Linked DNA regions of Astyanax mexicanus. The protein of the gene in region 1 purifies or fractionates together with the protein of each later gene. This does not show direct contact. Links are inferred from orthologs where the notes say so. Each region holds a gene or a part of one and is shown in the gene's direction. Other genes may lie near its edges.

Region 1 (3,759 bases):
GTATAAGTGACTCCTACGTCTACAATTACGCTTTTTTCATAGATAACTCCATGTTTTCTGACAGAGGAGGGTCTGATGAATTAATTTCACTATGGGTTTATGCTGACACAATGTATAGTTTAGGCAGCAGACTGATACAACTATGCCCACCCTGTATTCATATCATTTAATGGGATATAACCATGTATCGCCTATAGTGTGATGACTCCTTCATCTACAATTACGCTTTTTTCATAGATAACTCCATGTTTTCTGACAGAGGAGGGTCTGATGAATTAATTTCACTATGGGTTTATGTTGACACAATGTATAGTTTAGGCTGCAGACTGATACAACTATGCCCTTTCTGTATTAAGATAATTTAATGGCATGTATCGCCTATAGTATAAGTGACACCTACGTCTACAATTACGCTTTTTTCATAGATAACTCCATGTTTTCTGACAGAGGAGGGTTTGATGAATTAATTTCACTATGGGTTTATGCTGACACAATGTATAGTTTAGGCTGCAGACTGATACAACTATGCCCACCCTGTATTCATATCATTTAATGGGATATAACCATGTATCGCCTATAGTGTGATGACTCCTACATCTACAATTACGCTTTTTTGATAGTAAACTCCATGTTTTCTGACAGAGGAGGGTCTGCTGAATTAATTTCACTATGGGTTTATGTTGACGCAATGTATAGTTTAGGCTGCAGACTGATATTGATTATTATTATTATTATTATCATTATTATTATTATTATTATTATTATTATTATTATTATTATTATAGATCGGTTTGTAAGAACCATGTCAGTGCTTTCACAGTTGTAAAAAAGATAACAACCATACCTCTTACTGCCATCTAGGGGTAAATGTCTCTTCTGACCCAGCATGTGTAAATATGGAATATATGGTTGAGGTATAAAAAATGTTTTATACTGTTTTGCCAAATTCTCTCCCTGATTCATTTCACACTAATATTACTGTTTAAAGTTAAGGCTAGTGTTTAAATAATAGTTTTAAATCACTCAAATTTGTAACAGAAATGGTTACATATAAACCAGAGACGTCACTAAAGCAATGGATAACCCTCCAGATCGGTAAAACTATATTTAATTGTGTAATATATTCAAAAGCTTCATTGCTTTTATTTTGAAATGGAAACTCAGGAGGAGCACGAAAAACGAAACACTTCCGGGTATAATTCGTTGCTTATTTGTTTTTTTTTGTGTTGTTTTTTTTTCCTTTATTCGTTGCTTATTGTTGCTCACTTAACGCAGCTGCATTCGTGTATGTGTCGGCTACACGGAAGTGCGTCATCGTGCGCCTGAAGTCAGTGCGTAGTGTGGGAGTTGGTGAGGAGCTCGCTGAGAGTTCAGAGTATCTGTTTAGTTCAGTGTAAAAGCGGAACATTAATCAGGATTTTCGATCATGGCGATGCAAGCAGCGAAACGCGCGAACGTAAGTCTTGTTTATTTATTTCGTTTCCCTGTATTTACTCTTTAAACCGAGGCCCGGTGTGAGCAGGCCTCTTTGTATCGAGGAAGCCGTTAGCCTGTTGGAGCTAAAGCCACAGCAGAGTTTCACACTCATCACACACACTAAAACACACTGTATAGACTCCGTCTTACTGTACAACACTAGTGAATGATCAGGTCCTCATTCAGCTCAAACGGGCTAGAACTGTATTAAAGACTATGGGGTAAGAAACACTAACCAACCTAGCTTAGCTTAGCCGCTCGCCCTGACCGAGACAGTTAGCTAACACGGTATCTAAGCTAACCAAGCTAGCTGGCTAGATAAACACTCGCTCTTGTTTGGGGAGTTTTCATTCACGCGGTTTAAACTAGTAAAACTTTGTAGCGTTAGTTAGCTGAACGTAGATAAAAACACGACCAACTTACAGGCTGGCTAAGCTAACTAGCTAGTGTGTTTTGTCTTCTAATCATGCTGGACATTTCCTACAGTATCTAGCTGGCTTTTTATCCACAACTGCGGAGCTTCTTTCTCGTTAATAGAAAACCCAAATAGCACCACTAAACACTCGTGTACTTTACAAAACCAAGTTTAAATAAGAAACCTCAGTCGGTTCTGATGAAGTGTTAATGTGAGCGTTCTCTTTTAAAGCTGTTATTAATATAGGAGAGTGAAATTTCTCAATGTCTGGTCTAAAGTCCCAAATCTTTCAACAGTGTGACAAATCCCATGTTTTATTGTAACGTGTGAAAATCAAGACTTTTAATGTTGTTATTGAAACTGAGCATTAAGCAGAACATCTTTGTTTTGTTTTTTTCTCCCAGATTCGCTTGCCTCCGGAGGTGAATAGGATATTGTACATACGTAACCTTCCTTATAAAATCACAGCAGAAGAAATGTATGACATATTTGGAAAATACGGCCCCATCCGGCAAATCAGAGTGTAAGTACTGATCAATGTCCTATTTTTTTTAGTTAGCAGGCCAATTGTTTATTTGGTATACGGAGCCATTTGGACTAAAGGGTTGATGATTAACTGATGTGTTGAATCAGAGATGTTGAATCACGTGTTTGAGCAGACTAAGCACTAAACTGAGTAGGATTCTGGCTGTTCAGGACCAGTTGTGCACCCCAGATTTAAATGATCTTATATGAGAAGACTAATGTGAGTAGTTAACATAATTGTTACAATAAATTATCTATACTTTGCAGCACCTTTTTTCTACTTCACTCTCATGACATTACATGCCGTTTGCCTGTTTTGCTGCTTCTTACATCAATGCTTCGTTGTTTAGTTCAAAATATCCATAGCTAGTTTGTAGAGACTAGGATCAAGAAATACTTAAAGCTTGATGATGTTTAAAGAACATTAAACATTAACCCTAGATGATTATTTTAAAGATTAGTTTAAGAAGTCTTTGAAAAGATGAGTCTTTAGTTGGCGTTTAAAGATCATGAGTGACTCTGCTACACAAATACAGTCATAAAACTACAATGACTACACACAGAACTAGATTTCAGATTCTGTTACGAATGTATAATTCTCTGTTTAGATTTAGAATTTTTTGACAAACAATTGCAAAAACTGAGTGAGGGGAAATCGCTATTTCTGCAAATATAAAACCTGCTTAGGGGGGCACAATGTGATAAAGTTACAAGGTAGTAGAAGTATTGGATAAGTATGAGACTGGTGCTTTGCTCCGACTCCAGTGGATAATAATGAAGAATCTTTGTGTTTTACACATATTTTCTGCCCAGGAAATGATGTGCCAACATGGTACTTTGTCAGATATATATTTTTATGTTTACTTGTGTTCTAACAGTGCCCCCTGCTGAAGAAATGTCAGATTGCAACAAACTAAATCTGAATCGATCTGAATTGTTAAAAGCCCCATCTAGACAGGATTTGTTTCTCAGGGGGTCCTCTGTGATATTTTATACCCGTCCGGAAAGACCATGTTTGTGTTTTCCTCAGACGTCTTCTGAGAAAATTACAGGCTGAACTACCTACTGTTTGTCACTGAACTCTGTGGTCGTCCGGTAATTTTAGTCCCATCCGGATGGACATCTCTTGAGTTTTGTCACCTCACATTTAATAAAATGGCTATTTGTTCACTGCCACGCACTGTAATTACAATTTGGGTGCGCGTTTCCTTGGAGATCCATGTAAACACAACAATGAGTGGGAATGGAGGAGCTACTGAACGCGATGTCATGTGACCGAGAAAGCAAAAAAAAAAAAAAAACCCTCACTGGTCCCCTTTTTTCCATTGCAGTCCGGATGCAAG
Region 2 (3,759 bases), on another chromosome or scaffold:
ATAATCTTGCATCCCAATTCGTCACATGAATAAAATCAAAATATAATATGTCACATAAATTAAACCCATACTATTATAAATCATTCATAAAACTGATAATAATATCACAGACATTAATACGAGAATCAACTTTACACATTTTAATAAAACATTAGACATTTGTTTATAAAAAGTTGAAGTTCATGTTCACTCAAACATTTTGCAGCCACATAAAAGAAAGCCATTACCAGGGAAATAAACTTAAAAGTGTTACTTGTAATTACACTACAGGTTTCCCTGGTGGAGTTCAGAATAGGGAGGTACTTGGACGTTAACCCATTATGGGCATAAATAAAAAGCTTCATGAAAAATACACACATGTTTTAGAATTAAGTTACAACAGAAATTCCAAATGGGATTCTTTTATCTTTTATTCTTTTAATTACGAAGTCACATAATTTATGAACATTTTGGGGATGGACAACAGTTTTAGTGGCTAATATTTTTTTTTTATCTAGATTATAGCAATGGATAAATACGAAATGTATTTCACTAAAGAAAATGTACCACAACAATAGAAGAAACAAGTTTTTACCCTATAAACTATATACCCCCAATAAAGCCAGAGAAGTGCATTTTAAAGGACTTTCCTTCGTTTATACGTAACAACCTATTAAAATAATTTAATAATTTATTGAAGTGACATGTATTTTTTTATGAAATCTCAGTTTTATACCTATACTCCGCACACCTGCTCCGGTGTCTTGCTGTCCTCCTCATCGGTGTTTGTGAATTGTGCTGCAGTCACGTGCGCTTCTCAGAAATAGAAGTCGTTCCACGACTTGGCCGCGTTTCATATGGTTTGTGTATGAAACAAAAATAGATTTTTTTATATATTTTTTAAGCTTAATCAAATATATATAGTGATTGTAGATGTTTAAAAAGTGTGTTGCTATTAGAATATCGGACAAAAAAAAAAAAAAATGTTTGATATTTTGTTTACTTGAGGTGGGCATTCCGGGTCGAGTAAGTAAAACTCCAGCCCAGGTTTTTGTACTAACTCCGCTGCAGCAGAGCCACTCAGGTAGTTGGTACAAACTCCTGGGCTGGATTTTTACATTCTGGACCTGGGTTACTCACCGCCATTGTTAACATGCTTAATGACGCTGAAAAGCGTTTATGCCACAACTCGTTCATTTTGTCCTGCATCAAAAATGTCAGTGTGAATGAGGAGGATCCCGCTTCGAAGGGAAATTCGTTTTTCCGATAAAACTGGCTCCACACGAATGCAGAGGTATAAGTTACCCCAAACTGACCACTAAACAAGGTTAGTCCTAGACTGGCGCTAATGTTATTTATTAACTATACAAAAAATGGCGACTGTTTTTAAACACCTCGATATTTACACACATTTGAAGAATGGTTTATATCTACAATACGGCAATACAAGGATTAACTAACCTCTAAATTCGGTATTCAACTGGTTTTATAACGCGTCAGTGGACCCGCCGGGCCTGCGGGTGGCGCTGTGAGCAGAGCCGCGATGGTAAAAGTGAATGGGTTCCGCCGCTGTAGTCCACACTGTGTGCTAACCCGCGATGGCTAAACATCATCCAGATCTAATCTTCTGTAGGAAACAGGCCGGTGTCGGTAAGAAAGACAAAAAAATTAGAAAGTACTGATTTTGTTTTAACGAGTTTTGGAATTCCGTAATCATTATTTTAGTCCTAACAGGCGAATAGATGTATTAACTAGCTGCCATCTGCCAACGTTACGCTAGCGTAGCCAGGCTCGCTGCTGTAGATCCAGAACAGGCGAACGAGCTCCACTGTGTTTAAAGAGGGAAATATAGTTTATTTCACGTAATAAAGTACATTTTATACTTTTGTTTATTATAAATATTGACCTACTTTTACAGAACAGCACTGCGGATAAGCTGTTGACGCCTTTCTATGGCATTTTTTGAAAACAAAAAACTTTAACTCTGAGCTTACAACAATAATTGTGATTGTCTGTGATGGTCTCTAAACTAAATTAAATCTCCCCTCTACTATCGTGTGAATATTTGCTAGCTGGTTAATTTATTTCGGCTGGTAACCTATTTTACAAAATCAGGTAGTTGTCTATTTAAGTAGTCTTTGTTTATTTTACATTTATCAGTTCGTGTGTACTATTGTCTTGTAAATTACTAACTCCTTATTTGTGTTTTTATCTTTATAGCTATCGGGAGGCTGTGTGAAAAATGTAAGTTTTTGGAGTATCTATTACTTTGAACATTTTATGTGTATTATATATTTTGGCAAAAGAGAATCATGTAGCTTCATGCAGTCAGTTTGTGGAGATCGTTATATTTTGTATTTCATCTTCTGTGTCTGTGTAGCCAGTACACCAGTGCAGATAATACTTCACTCTTTGTGAGCATTTAAGGTTTCACACTGATAGTAAAGGTCTTACTTGAAACGTGTGTTCCGTTTTGATTTCTCATAATGCCACGAAGTGTCCACCAATATCAGTTATACTGATGTTTACATTAACAGTTGTTGGGAGATGCTAGTATTTTCCATGACCACTTAAAGTTTAATAATATTACTGAGAAAAGGAAATGTAAACTTTGTGTACTGTGGTGGTCTTATTTGAGCAGGGAAGCAAATGTTTGCCCTCTGAAGGGTAGAAGTATTGCCCACTATCCTACACCAACCACTGACATTGAATTGTTTTTAGTAATAAGCATGTCTAGACAGTAGAGGATTAGTAGTGTAGGGGAACTATCATGGTTATTAGTTTTTGTTTCACAAGGTGTAGCTTGTGTTGGTCAAGTTTGTGCATAAGATTTACGTTTGACCTTCGGCAATGAAGCTTTAACAAAAGTACTGAGAAACTGTGTATTCTTTCATATCATGCTTATGTCAAAGTTATATTTAACAACCATGACTATGTTCTTTCTTTTCCTCTTCAGGTGATGGGAAATGTGTTATCTGTGATTCCTATGTCAGACCTTGCACACTTGTGCGCATTTGTGATGAGTGTAATTACGGGTCCTACCAAGGGCGCTGTGTGATTTGCGGAGGCCCAGGGGTGTCAGACGCGTACTATTGCAAAGAATGCACCATTCAGGAGAAAGACGTGAGTGATTATTATATATATATATATACTGGGTGAGTGTGCCAGGAAGAGGGGTGTTTTGAACATGCCAATCAGTTAACAGTATGATCTGTTCAAACTATATCAGATAGACCAAATATACCCAAACTAAGGAAAAAAAAATAATTATATATATATATATATATATATATATATATATATATATATATATATATATATATATATATATATATATATTATTTTTTTTTCCTTAGTTTGGGTATATTTGGTCTATCTGATATAGTTTGAACAGATCATACTGTTAACTGATTGGCATGTTCAAAACACCCCTCTTCCTGGCACACTCACCCAGCATGTTACTTGTTGGAGGATAAACAGTGAAGACTAAAACGTTACAGAAGGCATAGCAAAGTATATAATGAATTCTAAGTGTGTTTATGAAAAGCCCATGGCTCTTTCCTGAAGAAAATGTGATAAAGAGACATTTATTTGAGTTTTACTGTGTTTCTGTTTTTGCAATATATTTATTTTTATGTAAATTATTACAGCTGCTATATTTTGTAAAAAATGAATGCCATTGCAATAGCAAAACTTGGCAAAGGGCTTTTAATTTGAAACAAGGCACGCAAGAAGTTTGATTGGGGAGATAAATAAGATCGGAGAGGAAATGTAGATAAT
Region 3 (3,759 bases), on another chromosome or scaffold:
ATTTGTGGCTGATATTAATATGTTATTATTAGTTTTTTTTTACAATCAGTATTTTCAAAATGTTAAATTAGAAGTAAGATTTCTGGTTGGTTCTCTTGCTCGACTGTATAATAAGATGCCCTCTCAAAGGATTGTTCATTTTTAAATATCAATAAGGACAGTGTAACATTCTATGGCTAAATAAGAACATAGGAAATTGGGTGTAAAACTTTATTTTACATTATATAACTTTGTCTGTTAGGCATTGAAACAGGTTTATTTCTGCCCCTCAAAATCAGAATAAATACATTTCTATTTTTTATTCTGGTAAATAAGTTGGTTGTATTACACCATCCGATATTAAATGCAAGAAAATGCTAAATAAAAATAAGAATCAGAAAACTTTTCATCATTTATTTTCATGTTTCCTGAATTTAAGATTTCCAAACATGAAAAACTTAACAATAAAAATATAATTGAAAATGCATTTCTTCTGCTTTATTAAATGAAAAATAATATATATTTTATTTAATGATAAAGGTTACACCAGGGGTCACCAACCTTTTTGAACCTGAGAGCTACTTCTTGGGTACCAATTAATGCGAAGGGCTACCAGTTTGATACACACTCATGAAATTACAACTTTTCTCAATTTACCTTTAATTATATGTTATTATTAATAATTAATGACATTCATCTATGTGAAGACACATATCAATATGCAACACTATTTTTATAAATCTCTGCAATTGTTTACATTTTATATTATATTATATTTTAATATAATATTACATATATTACATTATATTGTATAATATATAAACTATAGGCTATCTCTAAGCTAATATTAATCTAATATAATCTAAAATTACACCAATGCAACTGATTTAAAAAAAAAAAGAATAGCAACAAAAATGCTATTTTTAGACCAGGTCTGCGGGCTACTCATAAGGTCCTTGCGGGCTACCTGGTGCCCGCGGGCACCATGTTGGTGACCCCTGGGTTACACTGATCCCAAAACAACTGCCATATGTTTTGTATGTGTTTCCTAAAATTGGTTTAAATATATATATATATATATATGTATTATATGTATCTATGTAATATGAGGTAGGTTCATAGCAGCTACTCATTATCAGTGTTTTTTTCTCGTGGTTTTATCTCCATCTAGTGGAAGCTGAATGCGGTACAGTTGAAGCGGAACCGCTGAGTGCAGTGAGGCTGGTGAGGGGGAAGATTAATCAGGGCGCACAGGCAGACAGCTGTGTCAGAACGTATCTAAACAGTAAGAGCGTTTACTGTATAATATCAGCTTTATTAATGTAGCTGAAACAGAGGAGATGGTTTTACCAGCGCTGATATAATACAGGTATTTTATACACATTTTCTGTGTACATTTATAGGACGGGTCTTTCTGAAAACGCCTGGAAAACGTTAAGATAGCAAACGCTGTGAAAACGCTAAGCTAACTAACTGTGCATGTTGTCTTCAGGTGCCTAGGTTGGGAAACGTTCAGTAAACCGTCCACTGTGGGTCTGTTATACAATTATTTTCTTGTAAAATATTATTTTAATGTTTGAAACCTTCAAGACAGCTGAAATATGTACATTTTATTAGTATGTATGCTGGTATTCTTTTATTATGTCTAGTTCACTTGCATGGCTGAAAGAGTACACATAATTGAACTAATTAAGGATTGATAACTACAAGAAAACACTAATAAGAGTCAGTCTAATGTAATTTCTTTATTTAGGGACGTCATATCTGAAAATAATTTAAACACATTTACGAGGAAGTTAAAGTCTAAGTCTAAGGTAAGTTATAGCTTATGTTTTATATCCCTCTGCCAGTTGACAACGCTGTTTCATTACCACAGATACAATTATAAATAAAGATGTAAAACATATTTCCTATTCATTACTAAGTAATTAGAAGTATAGCTGCTGAGTTTAAAATATTTCTGTAGTGGTTAAAGTATGAACTTAAGATTTTTACTCTATAAATAAAAGTGTAAAATAACTTTCTAAGTAGTTTTAAAAGAAGTTTCAATAAGATTATAAAAGTAAAAGTAATGTAAGGGGAAAAAACTAAAGCAATTAAGGACAAGGCAACACCACAGAGTCCTATAGTGCACTACTATATATACTCCCCAAAAAACATTTTTTCTAAAAGCAATAGTGGCTATAATGTTTTATTAAAATGTTAATATTGATACATTTGGGATGCACCCTGTTTCACCTGCATATATGCTTAATGTAAATAAATGTATTTTAGTAGAATATAAATATATCAAAAAGGCTTGGTTGGACGTTTGTCTAGAGTTCTCTGCTATGTTCTTGCTGGAGTGTGTGTTGGGGGTGTGATGTGTGCAGGTGTGATGGATCACAGTATAAACCAATAGGGTGTCAGAATGGTAAATGTTTATACTTCTCATCCAACCACAATCAGATTCGCTCTATCTGGATGGAGAGGTTTATTTGGATAGGGGTTTTATTGAACGATGAGAAGCCGGAATGAAAACGTGCTGAAATGCAATAGGAGTAAGGAGGCTATTTTTAAAATGTAAGGAGTAGAAAGTTCAGATAATTGTGTAAAAATGTTAGACGTAGAAGTAAAAAATGTACTCCAGTAAAGTAAAACCTTTGCTGGAGTAAAATGTGTGCTTAAGTAAGGTAATGGAGTAATTTTCATTTGTTTTATTCATTAAAAAAATCAACATTGTAAATAAAAATATTATTACTGTGCCTGCCCAATTAATATAACAAATTTCAGTTATTCATCTAAGAAGAAAAATGCATGTTGAATAATAAATATGAGGAAATATGGTTAAAAGGTTTTGCAGTAATTTTATAATCAGAGGTGTCAATTAATGAAGTAAAAATACTTTGTTACCTTAACTAAGTAGAAATTTCGGTTATCTATACTTTACGTAATTATTTTAATGAAAAATAGTTCAGAACCATTTTAAAGAGTATATATAAATGATATAATTAGAGCATTAATAGAGCATTAAATGCTGGACAAAAAACTGACAGAATAACAATACAATAGCATAAAGCAATCATGCCCTTTTAAAAGTTTTGGCTTTGTTTGTGTTTGGTTATTTACAGTGTTCCTGACTCTCTGATAATCCCAGCCTAAACATACAGCGATATTAAACACTTCAGTGAGCAGAAATGTGGGGTGAGATAGAGCCAAGCTTCAGACCACAGAGTCCAGAGACTTTTGAAAACGATCAGCCGCTGAGGGATGACCAGGAGGAAGAGGAGGAGGAGGATGAAGATGAGGGTGACGACATGATGCAGAGTGCTGCTGTGGTTTGTGCTCAGTCTACAGCACCCAAGGGACCGGTAAGTGAACTATAAGTATATTCTGATATTTTTTTTAAGGAAGTATTATTTGTAGGTTAGTAGATTTAAGTAACAACAAAGTTTTGTTGAATATTTTATGTAAAATTAAATAAAATGTCTATCTTGACATGAATAGGTAATGAGTAGAATGTAAATTGCTTTCTTTACATTTGTTTTTAGGCAGTTGTCACGCTTGACACGCTTATCCAGAGTCACTTGCATGTAATTCATGTTACACTGGGTGGAGAATATAGAGTTAGAGTTGCTCAGTGACTGTTGGTTGGAGTATAGTGGATTGGTGTAGTATAGTGTGCTTGCTTGGGTGGGGAGTCAAACCACATTCTACAACAGCAGTGGTCCTTAACCCTGTTCCAGGTCAGCAAAAAGTTATGAGGCCATGGGTACATATTGTATGATAGTGTAATAAGTG

Evidence for each region.
Region 2: the proteins of sf3b6 (region 1) and phf5a purify together in Homo sapiens (affinity purification with mass spectrometry; 4 studies listed by BioGRID and IntAct, with this or other methods). This does not show direct contact. The link is inferred for Astyanax mexicanus from reciprocal best matches to the Homo sapiens genes SF3B6 and PHF5A.
Region 3: the proteins of sf3b6 (region 1) and ccdc97 purify together in Homo sapiens (affinity purification with mass spectrometry; 3 studies listed by BioGRID and IntAct, counting the BioPlex papers as one, with this or other methods). This does not show direct contact. The link is inferred for Astyanax mexicanus from reciprocal best matches to the Homo sapiens genes SF3B6 and CCDC97.

Annotation. Positions count from the first base shown.
Region 1 is NC_064408.1:59,525,128-59,528,886, reverse strand, and holds the start of sf3b6 (splicing factor 3B subunit 6), read left to right. Parts: upstream 1-1,265; 5' UTR 1,266-1,426; coding exon 1,427-1,456; intron 1,457-2,295; coding exon 2,296-2,414; intron 2,415-3,759.
Region 2 is NC_064422.1:23,507,382-23,511,140, forward strand, and holds the start of phf5a (PHD finger-like domain-containing protein 5A), read left to right. Parts: upstream 1-1,479; 5' UTR 1,480-1,577; coding exon 1,578-1,629; intron 1,630-2,199; coding exon 2,200-2,223; intron 2,224-2,935; coding exon 2,936-3,102; intron 3,103-3,759.
Region 3 is NC_064410.1:53,972,438-53,976,196, forward strand, and holds the start of ccdc97 (coiled-coil domain-containing protein 97), read left to right. Parts: upstream 1-1,164; 5' UTR 1,165-1,348; intron 1,349-1,471; 5' UTR 1,472-1,512; intron 1,513-1,732; 5' UTR 1,733-1,793; intron 1,794-3,089; 5' UTR 3,090-3,155; coding exon 3,156-3,329; intron 3,330-3,759. UniProt on the Homo sapiens protein: May play a role pre-mRNA splicing through the association with the splicing factor SF3B complex which is involved in branch-site recognition.